Elephas maximus indicus: one gene and its partner. The protein of the gene in region 2 interacts with the protein of the main gene of each other region in a biochemical or structural test. Links are inferred from orthologs where the notes say so. Each region holds a gene or a part of one and is shown on either strand. Other genes may lie near its edges. The genes, in order: ZMYND11 and ETS2.

Region 1 (9,297 bases), on a different chromosome or scaffold from region 2:
TCCCAAGTGATACTAAAATGTAGGAAAGAAAGCATGTAACTAACACTTACCTAGTGCTTACTATGGGCCAGGAACTGTTTTAAGTGCTTTAAAAATATTAACTCATCTAACTGTCACAATAACTCTATGAGGTATGTACTATTATCATCCTTGTTCTTCCGATGGGAAAATGGAGACAAGGCTTGACAAGGTTAAGTAGCTGACCCAAGGTCACTCTGCTGGTAAATGACAGAGATAGGATTCAGGCCCAAGCTGCCTGGCTTCAAAGTCTGGGCTCTTAATCATTTTGTTACGCTGCCTCCCCAATCCAATGCTAGGAAAAAAAAAAAAAAAAAAATCTAATCACCATGTAAAATAATGCAATGCTACATCCAAGTTCAGGTTTTCAAACACTGTAATGTTTTAATCAAGACCATAAGATGGTCCATTTTGTTCTTAAATGTTTTCTGCAGATACAACCTCTTTGTTTAAATGTAACGATGTTCTCCTTAAAGAATTCAACTGAAGTAAAAGGAAGGTAAAGAAAGTTTTACCCCAGGGGTTATGGCTTTAAGTAAGCAAGGTAGAACAGTATTTGATACTTCTATTACAAATGTTAAAACTCTTAGTTAGATCCAATTAGTGTCTTAATATTCTAAACATGCTCAATTAAGGTATGCCAAAGGATATGAATGCCTCTATTATTATACCCTATCTGAACATTCCTGAGAAGAAAGGGGATACAAAGGGGTGAGAGTTCACATAAACACATGTCAATTCACTGAAACGTGCATGATGACATCCACGAAGTGCCAACATAATGATATCCTAGGAATATGTAGTATGATCTAAAGAGCTAAATCTAACACTTTAACTAATTTTTCTTTGTAAAGCTGGAAGCACTTATATGTATGTTTATTTGAACACCTTGCAACAGGTACTGCAAAAACAAATAGCCTAATCTACAGAATGTAAAAGGGGATTATAGAACACAAATATTAATGCTTGTCACAGACACTGATCCTTCAGTTTTCAAGATCTATGAAAAAAGGTACTGTGTAAAATATAGAAATCCTCTGTTAATCAGAGGTAGAGTCAAGCAAGATATTTTATTGATTCTGTCATAATTACAAAATAACACATCCCGTATCTTCTGATCTTTGATTTTTAACCTTGTCATCCTATAAAAAACAGTTGACCAAAACAATGACTGTAATGTACCTAGCCCCAGTTAGTCGAAGACAAGGAAAATATGCCTGTACAGAAATTAGTATTTTATCTCTCGCTTGTATAAATTAGATATTCAGGCAAAAAAAAAAAAAAAAAAAAAAAAAAACTACAAAGATGACCTTGCTTCCTCAAGATTTTAAACTCTGCAGGTACACCAAGACTATCACCCTGAGAACTTCCAACCATTAGTTAGAACCAGTGACCCAAAGGCCTGAAATTACTAAGCTAAAAACTACTATATTTCTGTTTAAAAGAAAACAAGGAAAAGCTTGTTTTCTTCCATTCAACATATAAGCAAATCATATTATTTTTAATAATGCACTTGTCTTCTATACGAAACCAAAGTTCACAGTTATTCTTCCATCAAGGCTTATTGTAGGATGCAGAAGGACAAGGGTGAGGTAGTGCCAACTCCCTCATGTTAAGCACCTCAGAAACTTAAAGAGGCGCTACTTTTTCCACTCCATCAGCCACCTGCTTCAGCAATTTCCCCCACAGAATGCAGTGGTTTCCTAAAAACACTACTCTTAGACATTTATCAAAATGGGCTTTCCTTGTAAAGGAATGCTTCACACACTGCACTACCTCCCTCCCCAGCCTGCTTATTTCAGAATGGAACATAAGGCTGCGTCGTGTTTTATATGTACACATATACACTATAGTACATTCTATACAATAAGTGTGCCTCTACATGCCGGGTGTGGGAGAAAGCTTGAGGGGAAACAATTTACATAAAAGTTGTCAGTGCCAAGAGACTCCAGTGCTCCACACCTGCTACGTAGGGTCCATGGTCCTTGTGCCCCTTGCCTCCCAGAAGGGGCCAGTGAAGCAGGACACTTCCCTTAAGGAGTTCCCACCTCATCTCAAAGAAACTTAGCCTTTTAGGCTTGCCTGTTAGGGGCTTCCCCATGAACTGCGGCTTTCTCCAAATCCTCTCGATAGGAAGAAAAGTGGTAGATTACTCAGGAAAATCCTAGAGCCTAGATCGTGAGAGACACAGGAACACCATACAACGTGGGAGGAGAGAAGTTGGGGTGACGGTGGTGCAACCAAGGAATTCTTTTCCAGAGACAGGAGAAAAGGAACCTGTTGACGAGGCAAAGGGCCTCGCTTTTATTTGTTGCTGCTCTATCCAGGGTATCTCGCCCCCCGCTCCTGGGATAACCGGACTGAATCCCTGCCTCAGTCCTTGGGGGACAAACCCTACCCAGCAGCTGCCATTGCTCCCCACACAACGAACCGCGACAGCAAATGCTTACACCAGCCCTCGTTTCCCTCCCTCTCCCCGCCCTCACCACACATACAATCCACGTTCCCTTCGGACCCCGGCCAGCGACCGTGTCCCCGAGAGGCCTGGGCCGCGGGCGAGAGAGCCGCAGGCGGCGCGGTGCAGGGGCCGCTCGGCCTCCTCACGCGACTCCCCGGCTTCCCCGACACCGACAAGGCCCCTGCGCAGTTCTCCTGAGGAGCCTCTCCCGGGAACCCGGGAAGGCGAGAGGGGTCGCGGGCAGCGGCACACGCTGTCTGCAACAAAATCCCACAACGCCCGCCCGCTCACAGCCGCCTTGGCGTCCCCGGCCCGGGGGACCCCTGCCCGGGAGCGTCCTCAGCCCGCCGCACACAAAGCTCCTCGGGCAACTTTGACACGATAGGCGAGAGGGGATCTATCACTACCCCCCGCCGCCACCCCCAAAAGACTGCAGGCTGGAGCGGGGGTCAGAGGCACAACAATACCGGGTCACCGTAATCGCCATTAATACTCATAAGCAGCCCCCCGGGCAGAGCCGACAGCCGCTCCCCGCCCGCGCCCACCTCGCCCCCCGCGCCGCGGCCCGCTGCCCTCGCCCCCATCACGGCCCGCCGCCCCGGGCCTCCCCGCCCTCGGCAGAAGCTCATTTCTTTCCCCCACCATTATGCTCTGGCTCCTCGCCGCCGCCGCCGCCGCCGCCTCGCCCGCGCCCTCCCCCACCCCTCTCTCCCCGTCCCCCTCGGCACCGACTCGGCGCCCGCCCTCCTTCCCCAACCACCAACCACCTCTCCCGGGCCTGGGGCCGCGCCGGAGAGGCCGCGCGGGAGCAGCGGGGGACTGCGCGGGGCGCCAGGCGCGAGCGCGGGTGGGCGCTGGTGCGGCCCGCGGCGCCCGCCCCCGCCGCCCCGGCCTCCCCGCCGCGCCCGGGCTCCGCCGGCCAGGGGACTGGTGGCATAGGATTTGGTAGTTTGAGCGGCGCCATGTTTATAATCCTCCATCACATCAAACACACACGGAGACACCCGGCGAGGGAAGAGCGAGATGACTGAGGGCGGCCCGGGGCGCGTGTGTGCGGGGTGCACGGCCGCCGGCCCCGGGGGACCCAGGTGCCGGAGCGGTGCGCGCGGGGAGGGCTCGCCGCGCCGCCGTGTCCCGCCGGCCCGGCCCGCTCGCCGCCCGCCCGCCCGCCCGCCCGCCCGCCGCTTCCCCACTTACTGTCTCGTCGCCGGTGCTGCTGCGGCGGGCCGCTCTAGAGCCGCGAGCAGGGCGGCGCGGCGCGGCGCGGCGCGGCGCGGGGGACACGGGCCGCGCCGCGGGTGGAGAAGTTGGAGGGCGCCGCAGCTGCCTGGGGAAAGTTTTCGGTCCCTTCCCGAGGCCGTGCCTCCCGCTTCACATGTTGGTTGTTGGGTGTGTGAGCTTTTTTTTTTTTTTTTTTTTTAATCCCCTCCTCTTTCCCCCCTTCTTTCTCTTTTCACCACCCGCCCCCCCAAAACCCGCGCACTCACTCCCTCTCCCTCTCTTTTTCTCTCCCCCTCAGAGTTTTATTGTGTCTGATTTTTTTCTTCCCTTCCTCTGTCTGTCCACACAGTTCAGATTTCTGGGGTAAACAGGGTTTCAGATGTAGCGAGGAGGAGTGGGCAGCGCGGGCAGAAGGAGAACTCTAGCGGCAGTGGCTGGACTTGCTTCTTTCCACCCAGGGAGTTTTTATGTACATTCATATTATGCAAATAATATAGAGGCGTTTTTACGTATTCACACTTACCTTCCCTCCCTTCCTATCTTTGGCGCCTCTATCCAAAAGTTGTCTTGGCATAGTGTTATAATCCCACAAGTGCATTTTATACCAGTACATACATGAAAGATACATCCATGCAGGCACGCTTGAGTAAAAAGCAGGACACACAAAGATTTAAACACTCGTGTCATTGCTAGGTTTCGACGGTAAGAAGATGTATGCAACTCTCGGCCAAGACAGGTTTTTATGTGGGGTGTACCTGCTTTGTAGTTTAGGTTGTATGGAACTGCAAAGTCTTTGAAAAGCGTTAAGTTTTAAAATAACAAAATTGGTAAAATAGTTTTAATATCTTTTTAATCCCATCATAAAAAGGAATTGCAGGGATATGCTGAATCTCATTCCATGTATATGCAAATATGACTTCAAAGGAAAAAAAGGACCATCCATTGTCAGTTTGGCGAGAAAGCTACAAGTTTGTGTGAGAAGTAGGTTATCTTATAATTTGTAGTTTGTAATTCTAGATCGGACCAGAGAAGATCTATTTAAGAAAGTCTTGGAGATAAGCATGTATTTTCGGTTTCTCATGTTTTCTCCAATGACCTTTCTCTACTGGGACAATTCAGCCACAATTTCATACAGATTATTATTGGATATGTGTACCTGAAAATCACTGGGAAGAGACTAGAAATTCTGGGCTTCTAATGCAATTTATCGTTACACTTTCACAATGGCTCCTACTCTCATATAAGGTCGCTATGTGTCAGAATCCACTTGAAACCACAAAACAACACTAAACTAGAACATATGAGTGCGCCTGCTTGAATAGGTGGTCTACAGTGTACGCCAGTCACTAACGTTATATTCCAAATGCCAAAGAAACAATTTTTAACCATTCACAGACCTGGTTCTGATACATCTGAGAGAGTTTTTAGTTATCTCAAGGAACATCACAAATGTTAATTAATTTTAAGGATAAAATTCAGCAGAGGGGTTAAAGATTGTCAGAAAAAAATCAAGCCATGCCTGGTTTAAATGCTGGACTAGAAATTCCAACAATGAATTGCTTTAGTTTAAGTAAATCACCTTAAAAAAAAAAGTCTGTTACTGCATCTAAAAACTAGAGGGACCACATGATTGTGTTTACTTTGCAGAGGTCACTCAAGTGAGGTAAGGTCGTATATGTATAAAAGGAAGCCTTTTAGGAAGGAAGCCACTGCATAACTCCACATTTTTATCCAATTATATTATGTAGGCATCATTTCCATTTTTTTTTAACCTGGATACCATCTCTCATTCTAAGTTAGATAACGTAAACGTACATTTCTTATGATTTTGCATAGAATTTAACTCTTGTCTCTATTTTCCTTTCAAACAATTTATTTACCTCACTGTTCCTCAGCTGAGTGATTATGTGTGTGTTGGGGGGAGAGGGAGGAAGGTCCAGAAGACCAAAGTAGCCATTTCCACATAACCTAAATTATACCATGAGTTTATTTACCAGATTGTGAAGAGGAAAAAAACAGGGCTAAAATGGACAGAGTGAAGCGGGGAAAAAGACGAGTAGTGGAATACAAGGAATAGTTTATGTCAACTGAATGTTTTTGAGACTTAATCAGTTGCTGTTGAGTTGACTGGCTGATGGGAGCTCCATGTGTATCAGAGTAGAACTGTGCTCTGTAGGGATTCCAATCTCTGGTTTTTAAACTTTTTTTTTTTTTTAATTGAACTTTAGATGAAGGTTTACAGAACAAACTAGTTTCTCAACAAACAGCTAGAACACACATTGTTCTATGACACTGGTTAACAACTCCACGACATGTCAACACTCTCCCTTCTCAACCCTGGGTTCCCTATTACTGGCTTTCCTGTTCCTTCCTGCCTTCCAGTCCCTGCCCGAGGGCTGGTACGCCCCTTCAGCCTTGTTTTGTTCCATGGGCCTGTTCAATCTTTTGCTGAAGGGTGAACCTCAGGAGCGGCCTCATTACTGAGCTGAAAGGGCGTCCGAGAGCCATACTCTCAGGGTTTCTCCAGTTTCTGCCAGGCCAGCAAGTCTGGTCTTGCTTCTTTAGTTAGAATTTTGTTCTACATTTTTCTCCAGCTCTGTCCAGAACCCTGTATTGTGATCCCTGTCAGAGCAGTCAGTGGTGATAGCAGCGAACATCTCGTTGTACTGGACTCAGTCTGGTGGACGCCGTGGTAGATGTGGTCCATTAGTCCTTTAGACTAATCTTTCCCTTGTGTCTTTAGTTTTCTTCATTCTTCCTTGCTCCCGAAGGGGTGAGACCAGTGGAGTGTCCTAGATGGCTGCTCACAGGCTTTTAAGACCCCAGACACTACTCACCAAAGCAGAATGTAGAACATTTCCTTTATAGACTCTGTTATGCCAACTGAGCTAGATGTTCCCCGAGACCATGGTCCCCACAGAATGGCTAGTTTTTAAGAAGTAGATCACCAGGCCTTTCTTCCAAGGAGCCTCTGAGTGGACTTAAACTTCCAACCTTTTGGTTACCAGAAAGCGTTAACTGTTTGCACCACCCAAGGACTCCTTTAGAGACTTAGCACCAACTGGAAGAAGAACCCCCATCATAACTTTCTTAATTCTTCCTTCTTACGTATCAAAACTCTTTATACTCAAGTGTAAATCATATCACATTTTTCGATATTCCACTTTGAAAAATATTACGTAAATGGAGAAGGCTTGCAATATTCAACACACTGGGTGAAAATTTTTGTCTCTAAAAAATAAATCAAATTACATCCCTAACTGATGCTATATACCAAAATAACTCAAATGACTTGAAGAATATAATGGTAAAAATTGAAAACCATTCTTTAAAAGCTAAAAGAAAATATTGTTGTTGTTAAGTGCCCTCCAGTTTGTTCCGACTCATAGTGACCGTATGTACAACGGAACGAAACACTGCCCGCTCCTGTGCCATCCTCATGATGGTTACACATGAGCCCATTGTTGCAGCCACTACATCAATCCATGTTGTTGAGGGCCTTCCTCTTTTTCACTGACCTTCTACTTTGCCAAGCATGATGTCCTTTTCCAGAGACTGGTCCTCCTGATAACATGTCCAAAGTACATGAGACAAAGTCTTGCCATCTTAGCTTCTAAGGAGCATTCTGGCTGTACTTCTGCCAGGACAGATTTGTCCATTCTTCTGGCAGTCCATTGTATACTCAGTATTCTTCACCAACATCTTAATTCAAAGGCATCAGTTCTTCTTTGGTCTTTCTTACTTATTGTCCAATTTTCGAATGCATTATATGAGGCAACTGAAAACACCACGGTGTGGGTCAGGCGCACCTTAGTCCTTAAGGTGACATCTTTGCTTTTTATCATGTTAAAGAGGTCTTTTGCCGCATATTTGCCCAATGCAATGCGTCTTTTGATTTCTCGACTGCTTCTTCCATGGCTGTTGATTGTGGATCCAAGTAAAATGAAATCCTTGACAACTTCAATGTTTTCTTCATTTATCATGATGTTGCTTATTGGTCCAGTTGTGGGGATTTTTGTTTTCTTTATGTTCAGATGTAATCCATACTGAAGGCTGTGGTCTTTGAACTTCATCAGTTAAGTGCTTCAAGTCCTCTTCATTTTCAGCAAGTATGGTTGATTTTTTTTTTTTTTTTATGGTTCTGTCATCTGCATATTGCAGGTCGTTGATTAGTCTTCCTCCAATCTTGATGCCCCATTCTTCTTCATACAGTCCAGCTTCTTGGGTTATTTGCTCAGCATACAGATCAAATAAGTATGGTGAAAGGATACAACCCCGGCAAACACCTTTCTTGACTTTAAACCACTCAGTATCTCCTTGTTCTGTTCAAACAACTGCCTCTTGGTCTATGTATAATTTCTTCATGAGCACAATTAAGTATTCTGGAATTCCCATTTTTTGCAATGTTATCCATAATTTGTTATGATTCATACAGTTGAATGCCTTTGCATAGTCAATGAAACACACGTAAACATCTTTCTGGTATTCTGTGCTTTCAACGAAGATCCATCTGACATCAGCAATGACATCCCGTGTTCCATGTCCTCTTTTGAATCATTCTTGAATTTCTGGCAGTTCCCTGATGCTCCAACCGCTTTTGAATGATCTTCAACAAAATTTTACTTGTGTGTGATATTAATGGTATTGTTAAATAATTTCTGCATTCTTTTGAATCACCTTTTTTTGGAATGGAAAGAAACATGGATCTCTTCCAGTTGGTTGGCCAGGCAGCTGCCTTCCAAATTTCTTGGCATAGATGAGTGAGCACTTCCAGCTCCACATCCATTTGTTGAAACATCTCAATTGCTATTCTGTCAATTCTTGGAGCCTTGTTTTTCACCAATGCTTCAGTGCAGCTTAGACTTCTTCCTTCAGTTCCATTATTTCTTGATTATATGCTACCTCCTGAAAAGGTTGAATGTTGACCAGTTGTTTTTGATACAGTGGCTCTATGTATTCATTCTATCTTCTTTTGAGGCTTCCTGCATAGTTTAATATTTTCCCCGTAGAATCCTTCAATATTGCAGCTTGAGGCTTAAATTTTTTCTCCAGTTCCTTCAGCTTGAAAAATGTCAAACGTGTTTTTCCGTTTTGGTTTTCTAACTCCAAGTTTTGCACATTTCATAATACTTTACTTTGTCTTCTTGAGCTGCCCTTTGAAATCTTCTGTTTAGCTCTTTTACTTCATCACGTCTTCCATTCACTTTAGCTACTCTGTTCAAAAGCAAGTTTCAGAGTCTCTTTTGACATCCATTTTGGTCTTTTCTTTCTTTCCTGTCTTTTTAATGGCCTCTTGCTTTCTTTATGTATGCGGTCCTGGATGTCATTCCACAACTGGTCTGGTCTTTGGTCATTAGCATTCAGTGCATCAAATCTATTCAGGTGGGATATATTGAGGTCATACTTTGGCTCTTGTGGACTTGTTCTACTTTTCTTCAACTTTAACTTTTCGCTCCCTGGCCTTGAAAGTATAGATAGGTTTTTTAAGATTGTGTGTGAGAAAGGATATCCTAAGCCCTAAAGCAATGGGGAGAAATGGAAAAAAATCACAAAAGAAAAGACTGATAAATTTAACAATATAAAAGTTTATACCTGTACAA
Region 2 (8,714 bases):
CCTAGAAGAAAAGTATTGTTATTATATAAACTTGACAAAGATGGGGTTTGACCCTGGGCAGTCTGTCCTCAAGGCTGCCCTTCAGAGGTCAAGATCACACACTCTAGTCTCATTATCATGTCCTCATGCCCACAGGGAACCCAAGGGACAAATAGGATGCCAACAAGAGAAGAAACTTTAATGGGCATTAAAAAAGTTTCTGACCTCCAGAATAATACTGTTTTTTTTTTTTTTTTTGCTGTTTCGAGGAATCGTAAATAAGAGAATAAGACACCACCTACTTTTGGGTGGAGTCCCTGGGTGGTGCAAACAGTTAACTTGCTCGGCTACTAACCAAAAGTTTGGAGGTTCGAGTTTACCCAGAGGTGCCTCGGCAGAAAGGCGTGGCAATCTACTTCTGAAAAATCGGCCATTGAAAACCCCACAGAGTGCATTTTAATCTGATACACGTGGGATCGCCATGCGTTGGAATCGACTTGACTGCAACTGGTACACTCTTGTGTAATTTGATACAACCATCCTGCAGGGAGGATGACATGTTGCTGGATGACCCCATAACTGCCTGAGATTCCTTGTATCCATGCCAGCCTGCAAATGAGCATAAGTGGATAGTATAATTATTGTATATATATATCTGGAGGTGAGTGGGTAGAAAGCTCGCCTTTATCAGTGCCAACATGTATTAGGGGAATAAATGCTACAGCTAGACACTACCAGGAGACGCAGGGTAAATAGAAGAGTGAACAAAGGCACCCGAATATACATGAATTAAATAATTTCTATCCCTGAGGGCTTTCTTTGCTTCCTCCGCCTCCTGCCCCCAGGATGTCCAGTCTCATTTGTCTCATGAATTTTGTACGTGAAGTGCACATTTCTTTCTCAACATTTTTATTTTTTTGAGGGCGAGGGACAAGGCTTATTCATCTTTGTCTTCCTGGTCCTGGAGCCTATGTTTACTGAATGAATAAATGATACACTTCCGGCCAAATGACGTCTGTTTAACTTGCAACTTGAAACTACCTTGAATCGTGTGTTGCCTCTATTGATTTGGATCTCAAGGCAAATATGAAGGTATCTCTAAGGAAACGTGTTTCTTTTTTTAAAGAATGACTTTTTAATGATAGTGTCTGGTTTCTAAAGAACGTTTTATCTGTATTTTACTCTCTAGATAATTTAGTATTTGTGCAGACATAGGTTCTGCTATCTCTTTCCTTTTTTTCTTCTCTGAGCTTTATTCTGTCTTAAGGGAAAAGGATTAAGATGACTCTTAAACTCAGCTTGACATAAGCACATCTGATCATTTCACCCTGTGCGTCTTCTGCCTTTTCATTTCCTTCTAACACCTTCAACTTTTGATTTTAAAGTGCAGCGAGCGCAGTACTTAAATAGGCTTCATTTACTGTAAAGCCTGGTGTTCCTTGAGCATCGCGCCGTAACAGTCAATGAATAATCACAGGCTTCAACCAGGCAGGGGTTTAATAACTAGGCTGAGTAACTAGGAAACCAGCTAATAACAAGGACAAAAAAAAAAAAAAAAAAAAAAATTAGGAGCCCCGGTATCATCCCAGAACTAGCATACGTCATTTTATTAAGTTCATGTCACCATCAAACTGTGGCGGTGGAACAGTCACAGCACAGGACCCAGGGCAAGGGGGCTTTGTGGGAAGCAGGGAGCTAGAGGGGCCTGGGTGGGAGTCAGGAGACTAGGCTTGTGTGGACTCTGTGTCCCTTCCGAGTGTGACCCAGGCAAACTGACCTAGCTTCTTCTCCTAGAGGCCTCCACACCTCTTTCAGCTCTGCCATTTTGTCATCCAGGCCATGGTCATTTTGGGTAGGGTTTCACACCAGTGGGATCTGAGACAGTAGGGACAATTTCTTTTTTCATGTGTATGACAATTTTTTCCAAGTGTTTCTCATAAAATGATTCAAGGGGGGAGTTTGGAGAAAGAAACTTAGTAGCTGCCATTTTGAGCTCTCTCAGCTCAAAAGGCACTCAACACTGGTAAGTACTGGGATTTATGTCTTATGACATAGGTTCCATAGAGAGAGAGGGAGGGAGGGGTACGTGGCTGGGTGGGTGGGTGGATGGATGGTTGGATGGATGGATGGATGAACAGACAGATGCCAGTGAGCTGACTCTTTTTCATGGCAACCTGTGTCATCCTCCCAATCAATGCATGTTTGAGTCCATCATTGTGGCTATTAAGCCAATCCATCTTGCCGAGTGTCTCCCTCACCCTCACTGGTCCTCTACTTCACCAAACATGATGTCCTGCTTTGTCCATTGAGCCTTCCTGATGGCGTGTCCAAAGCAAGAGAATAGAACAAAGTTCTGTCGTAACCCATAAGGTTTTCATCGGCTGAGTTTTGGAAGTAGATCCCCAGGCCTTTCTTCATAGTCTCTCTTAGCCTAGAAGCTCCACAGAAAACTGTCCACCACGGGTGATGCTGCTTATATTTGAAATACCCATAGCATGGCTTCCAGCGTCACAGCAACACACAAGCCACCACACTATGACAAACTGACAGATGGGTGGTGGATAGGTTGGTTCCATAATTGCCCCTTTTCTGCAGAGGAGTTAAATAATAGGCTCAAGGTATTCCGAGTTAGTAAGCAGGGGAAGGCTTGGCCATTAGGAAAAGATTTTCTCCCAACTCCAGTGCTCCTTCCATTGATTTCTGTCTCTCAGCTTGTATATGCTTGAAACTGCCCAGTGAGCAAAGCGCTTCTTCCTGGCCCCCATCCTCAAAAGAAGGAAAGACGTCTTCACAAAGAATCAACGGGTCTCCATCTGTCCTCTTTAGGGAGCCCTGGGAGAAAAGTCTGGTGATCTACTTCCAAAAATCAGCCAGTGAAAACCCTGTGGATCCATGACCTATCACGGGAATGGCACAGGACAGGGCATCGTTTCATGCCATTGTGCCTGAGGTCACCATGAGTCGGGGCCAACTCAACGGCAGATTAACAACAGCACCAGGGAGCCTGTCCATCAACCTCTGGCACCAAACATGGGTGGGGAGCAGGCACAGGGGACTAGGCAGTGGCACCAAGCTTCTCAGACACCCGAAACTGGCCGTGGCACCAAGCTTCTCAGACACCATCCAGGACTGTGTGAGTAGCCTGGGGGAAAAGCCGCTGTATTACCTGGAAGGGCAGCCAGATGAGTCAGGATTTTCCGCTATGGTTTTAAGAAAAGAAAAAAAAGGAACACATTGCATCTCCATGGTAACTTACTATGGATCTGTATGCCATTTATAAAACTCCTTCTTGACCTATGTACCCTTTCTGATTCGGGCCTGAACGTACACTGAGAAGCCATCAGAATCAATTCAATCCCCCCAAAACACTGATTTCCCCTTGCACAATGTGGCCTGCCTCTGACATGTGCCATGGTGATACCTGGACACCCTCAAGTGGCAAGGCGCACTAAGGGGCTGCAGTATCTCGGTGATCCGGATAACGGCAGATCCATGGTTGCCACGGAAACCAGGAACCCTGGCTGACAGAAGCTGGACAGTTTCACTCCCTCCCGCGGCACCCTGTCTTTATGATGTAGCTGCTTTCAGTCCTAGGGTCTTGCCTAAACTAGGCTTTTTTAAAAAAATCTCGTACAAATCTAAATTTCTCTCCAAAATATTGAGAGTCTAAGTAGTTAAGTGACTGTGCTGGCAGCAGAAAGTTCAGCTGTTCGAATCCACCAGCCCCTCCCGGGGAGAAAGATGCAGCAATCTGCTTCAGTAAAGATTGCAACCTTGGAAACAATACGGGGCAGTTCTACTCTGTTCTATAGGGTCGCTACGAGTGGGAATCGACTAGACTGCTGTGGGTTTGGTTTGGGATCTAAGTCTAAATAGGAAATGCATACATTTTTAGCCATGGGCTCGGCGCCTTCTGATAAAAATGGAAACCCGCGTATAGGTGACGGTTTTGACCATGGGCTTGGGAGTCAGAAAAGGTCGGGTTGCCATCCTGAATTTCCCATGAGTACCCGCGCTTATGATCCAGTTACTTACCCTAAGATTCAGGTCTGTCATGTGCGAAGTGGCAACAATAAAACCTTGGAGAAATGTCCTGAAGATTAAATGATAATACATGTAGAGTGCTTCGCCTCGAGTGAAAGCTCAGTCGGTGTTGGTTACTACGATAGGCACCGCTCAATTCTAGGGGGCGCCCCTCACACGAGGGCTATGGAAATGGAATTACCCTGAGTAGCGCAATTCGTTGTGCACAATAAACTTGGTGGTGAGCCAGCAAAGGGCCCAGATCGTACTTGTTACCTTCATTTAGAGTCTTTTCATGACCCAATAACTAGAAATCTTGGATCCAGAGGGAGGTCCAAGAATGGGCCAGCTCAACTTTCGAGGGCACCGCCCAGGGAGATCTTATTAGCCAAGCGCCGCGACCACCCGTGTCACCAGCGCTCTTCATTATTCTCTTCATGCTGAATTCCAATGGCAGGTTTGGTGTGAAAGCCACAGGGATCAGGAGAGGAAACTGATTCTTCCCAGGAAAGGCTCTCCCGGCACACATCCTGAGTCCCTGGGACAGAGCCAGGTGACAGCGGACGCGGGAGAGAGGGCCCCGCCGGAAGGAGCTTGCTCCTCCCCTCCTCCGCTCCTCCCCTCCTCCCCTTTCTCTTCTCCCTTCTCTTCCTCTTCGCTCCGCTCTTCCTTCCAGCTTTTCCTTCCTTTCTCCTTTCTCCCTTCCTCTCCTTTGCCTCTCTACTCTTCTCCTCTCCTCCCCCTCCCTCTCTTCCTTTCCCTTGTCCCCGACCTCCTTCCTCCTCTGGTCCCCTCCCCCGTTCCCGTCCCTCCGCCTCCCCTCCTCCCCTTGTCTCCTCCCCTCTTTAGTCCCTCCTCTTCGCGCTCCTGAAGAGCTGCGCCGCGAGGGGACGGGCCGGTATTTCCTCCTGCTGCCGCGAGGAACACGGTGCACCCTAGGTCGAGAGCCCGGCTTGCCGCCCGCAACCCCCGGAGCGCCCCCGTCCGCCACCCGGTCCGCGGCCCCCGCGTCTTCAGCGTTCGCCCTCGCCCTCGCCTGGCGCGCACCCAGTTACCGCCGCCTCCGTCCGCGCCGGCCTGCCCGCAGGGGTAAGAGCGGGGTCCCTCCTGGAGCCCCCACCGCGCCGCAGACCCTGGAGGGCGCCGGCTAGGCGTCCGCTGAGAACCGCCTCCTGCGCCCGGCTCCTTTCCCTGGTAGGGGTGACCCAGAAACGGGACGGGAGACGCAGGCGACACCAAGATCTGGATCCTGGAGTGAACCAGGGGGTCAGGGTCGGGGTGGCGGTCCTCTTAGAATCCGAGGGGCGTGCGCCTGAGTTATCCTCACAGGCTTGTTTTCTCGGTACCGAGTGGCCTTGGGGGTGGCGGAGCGGCCGAGGGCCCGGCGGCAGGGTCAGTGCCGAGGTGCCCGGGCGAGGTTGCCCGGGGCCCCGAGACGTGCCGGCCCGGGCCTTGCGCACTCGGGCGGTGCCGCCGGGTCGCCGGGCGGCCTCCCGGGCGGGGTGCGGGTCTTGTTTCGCTTTGCTTGGCTTTGTTTTCTAAAAGGCATTCCGGGCCCGGTGGGGTTGTTCTTTGCCCAGGTTTCTCGTCCTGCGGGTGCCCAGGGCGCCTGAATTCACTAAGGGCGTTGAGAACGCAGAAGGGTGTCCGGGTAGCTCCCGCGCGCAGTCCACGGGCTTCCCGGCCCAGGCGCGCCCCGGCTTTGTGGGAGACTTTCTCAGGCGCCCCATTCTGGGGGGCGGTGCCGGGCCCGGCAGGGAGGTTGCCCGGATCGGGGAGGGGGGGCCCCGGCGCGTAAAGCGGAAATGCTACGGCACCCCGGAGCGCAGGGTCCCCAACTGCTCGGCCAAGTCCAGGGCCCAGCCCGGGCGGCAGGCGAGGGAGGCCCCAGGAGGGTGAACGGGTGGCGCCCTCTTGTCCTTCCGCTTGGGCGAAACCCTTACGGGTGCCCGAAAACCTCTGGATTCGGGGTCCCCTCGGCCGACATTGGTGAGGGAATGGGGGACCGGGAGGCGTAGGCTGCCTTTATTTTCTTGAAGTATTTTGAAGGAAAGAGTAATCGTGAGCGTTTGCGTATGTGTATTTGGGGGCTTTGGGTTTCTTTTTTTTTTTAAGTTCAGGAGGCTTTTAATGCTAGACGGTTCTAAATTTCAGGGTAGACTGAAATAGCAGTTGTGCTACTTTAGAAAGTAAATAGGTGAGCAGGCCCCTTTGGAGATAGGAGTAATTTATTTTATTTCACCAGCAAGAGATTACATGTGTTCCATGGGATGGAAGTGATGTGTGTTAGCTGCCTGCCCACACCGCCAGCAATCACCCATATAAATCTCTAAGTTAAGGTTTATTAAAATTCTGAGTAACATCGCAGTACAATAAATGTTAGCACCGCGTATCCCGCAGGGAAATCGATTCAAACACTCATTCCTGAGATTAGTCATTCATCTCTAAACTGATAACTTTCCAAGTGAAAAAAGCAAAAGGTACCTTCAAAAGTGTGAAAGGCTTGTTTCATTTTGTTTTTCTTAAGATTTACCTAAGTGCAAACCTGTGTTCTGATCTCACATAACTGATTATTTGTTCTAATAAGGGTACTGCCGTCTGGCAGGTTGTCCTCTTTTCGAATGTTACCACTGTCGGCCATTCTGTTCTGCCATTTCCCCCCCTTTTTTTGGTTCAAAAGCAGTGATCAGTATGGCAACACCGAAATGACCTAAACATGAAGTTGATTAATGTGGAGGAACTTGGCATGCCTGTCACTTTAACAAGCTGTGTTGAGTAAAATAAGTGAACTTAAATTTGATTAGTGATGTGTCTGCCTGAAACCATTTAGTCGAGCTCTTTGATTCTACATGGTTTTTTTACAAAACTCATTAAGAGCTGGACAACAAAAGAATTCTATTCTGTAGCTAGTAATTATACCTCTTTATGTGGGAGGGGTAGGCTGCCTTTTCTCTCGGTATTTGTACACAAAAGCTAGGCAGAGCTTTTCCGTGGCCGTCCGCAGCCTTTCTCTGTCAGTCTCTGTGAAGTTAGAACATGTAGGATAAAGCCGGCAGCCTACTAACCAAAAGGTTGGTGGTTCGAGGCCACCCAGAGAAGGAAGGCCTGCCTGGCAATTTACTTCCAAAAAATTAGCCATTGAAAACCCTGTGGAGCACAGTTCTACTCTGACACACACATGGGTTGCTATAAGTTGGAGTTGACTCGACAGCAGCTGGTTTTGCTGGGTTCTGGATAGATACTGGACAAACCCAAGATGTCTATTGTCTTGGCTCGGGCCTACTGTCATAGTATCTGTTTGCTGTCTCTGCCTTATGGTGATGTGGAGGCAGAAGGGCACGTGCCTGGCACAGTGGGTTAGGACCACATGCAACGGGGATTTGGTCCCTCGTCTGCTCCTTAGTAGCCCCGTGGTAGCTGTTGATCCAGGGCCAGTTAACACCTGGGCCTCCAGTGCCTCCCTACAAGATGGCACACTGTCTCCAGCCCTGATGTTGGGGAGGTTCAGGGAAAGGGTGCTTAGGGCTGAGTGAGTAGGCGTCTGTCAGCGCTGGCGAGCCTTAGCAGTGAGCACTGATTCTTGAGAAATGCGGACGGCAGAAGTGACAAGATGGAGATTCTGATCCAGCGTGGCCACTTTTGATCCCAGAACAACCCTCCCCTCCCACCCACCCATGGGGTGATTATCAAGGTGTTCTCTCTCCTGTCTTGGCTGCTGTGATAATTACCTTCAGGGCAAGGGACTTTACAGCCTTTCCAATGTCTCTTGCCTCCCACACTGCCATTTTAGGGGTGTGTGTGTGTGTCTCCAGTATCCAGAGCCCAGCAAAACCAGTTGCCATCGAGTTGATTGCAACTCATGGCAACCCCATGTGTGTTAGTGTTGGGTGGCAGGGTTGTTGGGAGGTGTGTTTTAGTTATAATGTTGTTCATAAAGAGAAAGTAAGAAAGCACACAGTTGAATTTAAATAGTTACATGGGAATAGGCTAATTGCTGCTTCCAGTAAGTTATATAAATTGCCGAGTATTTTAACTCCTAGAAGTTCTTGGTTGTTACAGGTGGGAGCACCCAGTAGAGTGGGGGCAGGTTAGGGGTGCCCCCATACAACTTTGTTATGGACCTTCAGTTCCGTAGCCATGGAACAGGGAGGGTGAGGGATGCCCCTCGAGGTAAAGGTTGCTGTCACCTGTGCTAGGCCAGCTGCCATCCAGTTGACTCCGGGTCATGGTGACTGCATGTGGGTCAGAGTAGAACTGTGCTCCGTAGGGTTCTCAGAGGCTGATTTTTCTGAAATAGATTGCCTGGGCTTTCTTCTGAGGTACCTGTGGGTGGACTCGAACCTCTAAACTTCTGGTTAGTAGCTGAGCGTATTAACTGTTTGCACCACTCAGAAACTCCATCATCGGTACTAACCCTGGTAATTCGAAAATGAGTTTTAGTCATTAACGTTTTGTTTAACACTCTGGTAGTATTTTTTTTTTTATTACTATGTAACTTTCCTGTCCAGACAAGCAGTTTTAGGGTCCCCAAATAACTTTTGGGAGCCCTTGTGGCACGGTGGCTAAGTGCTATGGCTGCTAATCAAAAAGTCAGCAGTTCAAATCCACCTGTCTTCCTTGGAAACCCAATGGGTCAGTTCTCCTCTGTTCTATAGGGTTGCTATGAGTCGGAATCGACTCGACAGCAATGGGTTTGGTTTTTTGGTGTTTTA

Evidence for each region.
Region 1: the proteins of ETS2 (region 2) and ZMYND11 form a complex in vitro, tested with the Homo sapiens proteins (2 studies listed by BioGRID). The link is inferred for Elephas maximus indicus from reciprocal best matches to the Homo sapiens genes ETS2 and ZMYND11.

Annotation. Positions count from the first base shown.
Region 1 is NC_064822.1:20,702,819-20,712,115, forward strand, and holds the start of ZMYND11 (zinc finger MYND domain-containing protein 11), read right to left. Parts: upstream 3,853-9,297; 5' UTR 3,674-3,852; intron 3,175-3,673; exon of another isoform or gene 3,119-3,174; intron 1-3,118. UniProt on the Homo sapiens protein: Chromatin reader that specifically recognizes and binds histone H3.3 trimethylated at 'Lys-36' (H3.3K36me3) and regulates RNA polymerase II elongation. Does not bind other histone H3 subtypes (H3.1 or H3.2).
Region 2 is NC_064820.1:221,193,284-221,201,997, forward strand, and holds the start of ETS2 (protein C-ets-2), read left to right. Parts: upstream 1-4,873; 5' UTR 4,874-5,091; intron 5,092-8,714. UniProt on the Homo sapiens protein: Transcription factor activating transcription. Binds specifically the DNA GGAA/T core motif (Ets-binding site or EBS) in gene promoters and stimulates transcription.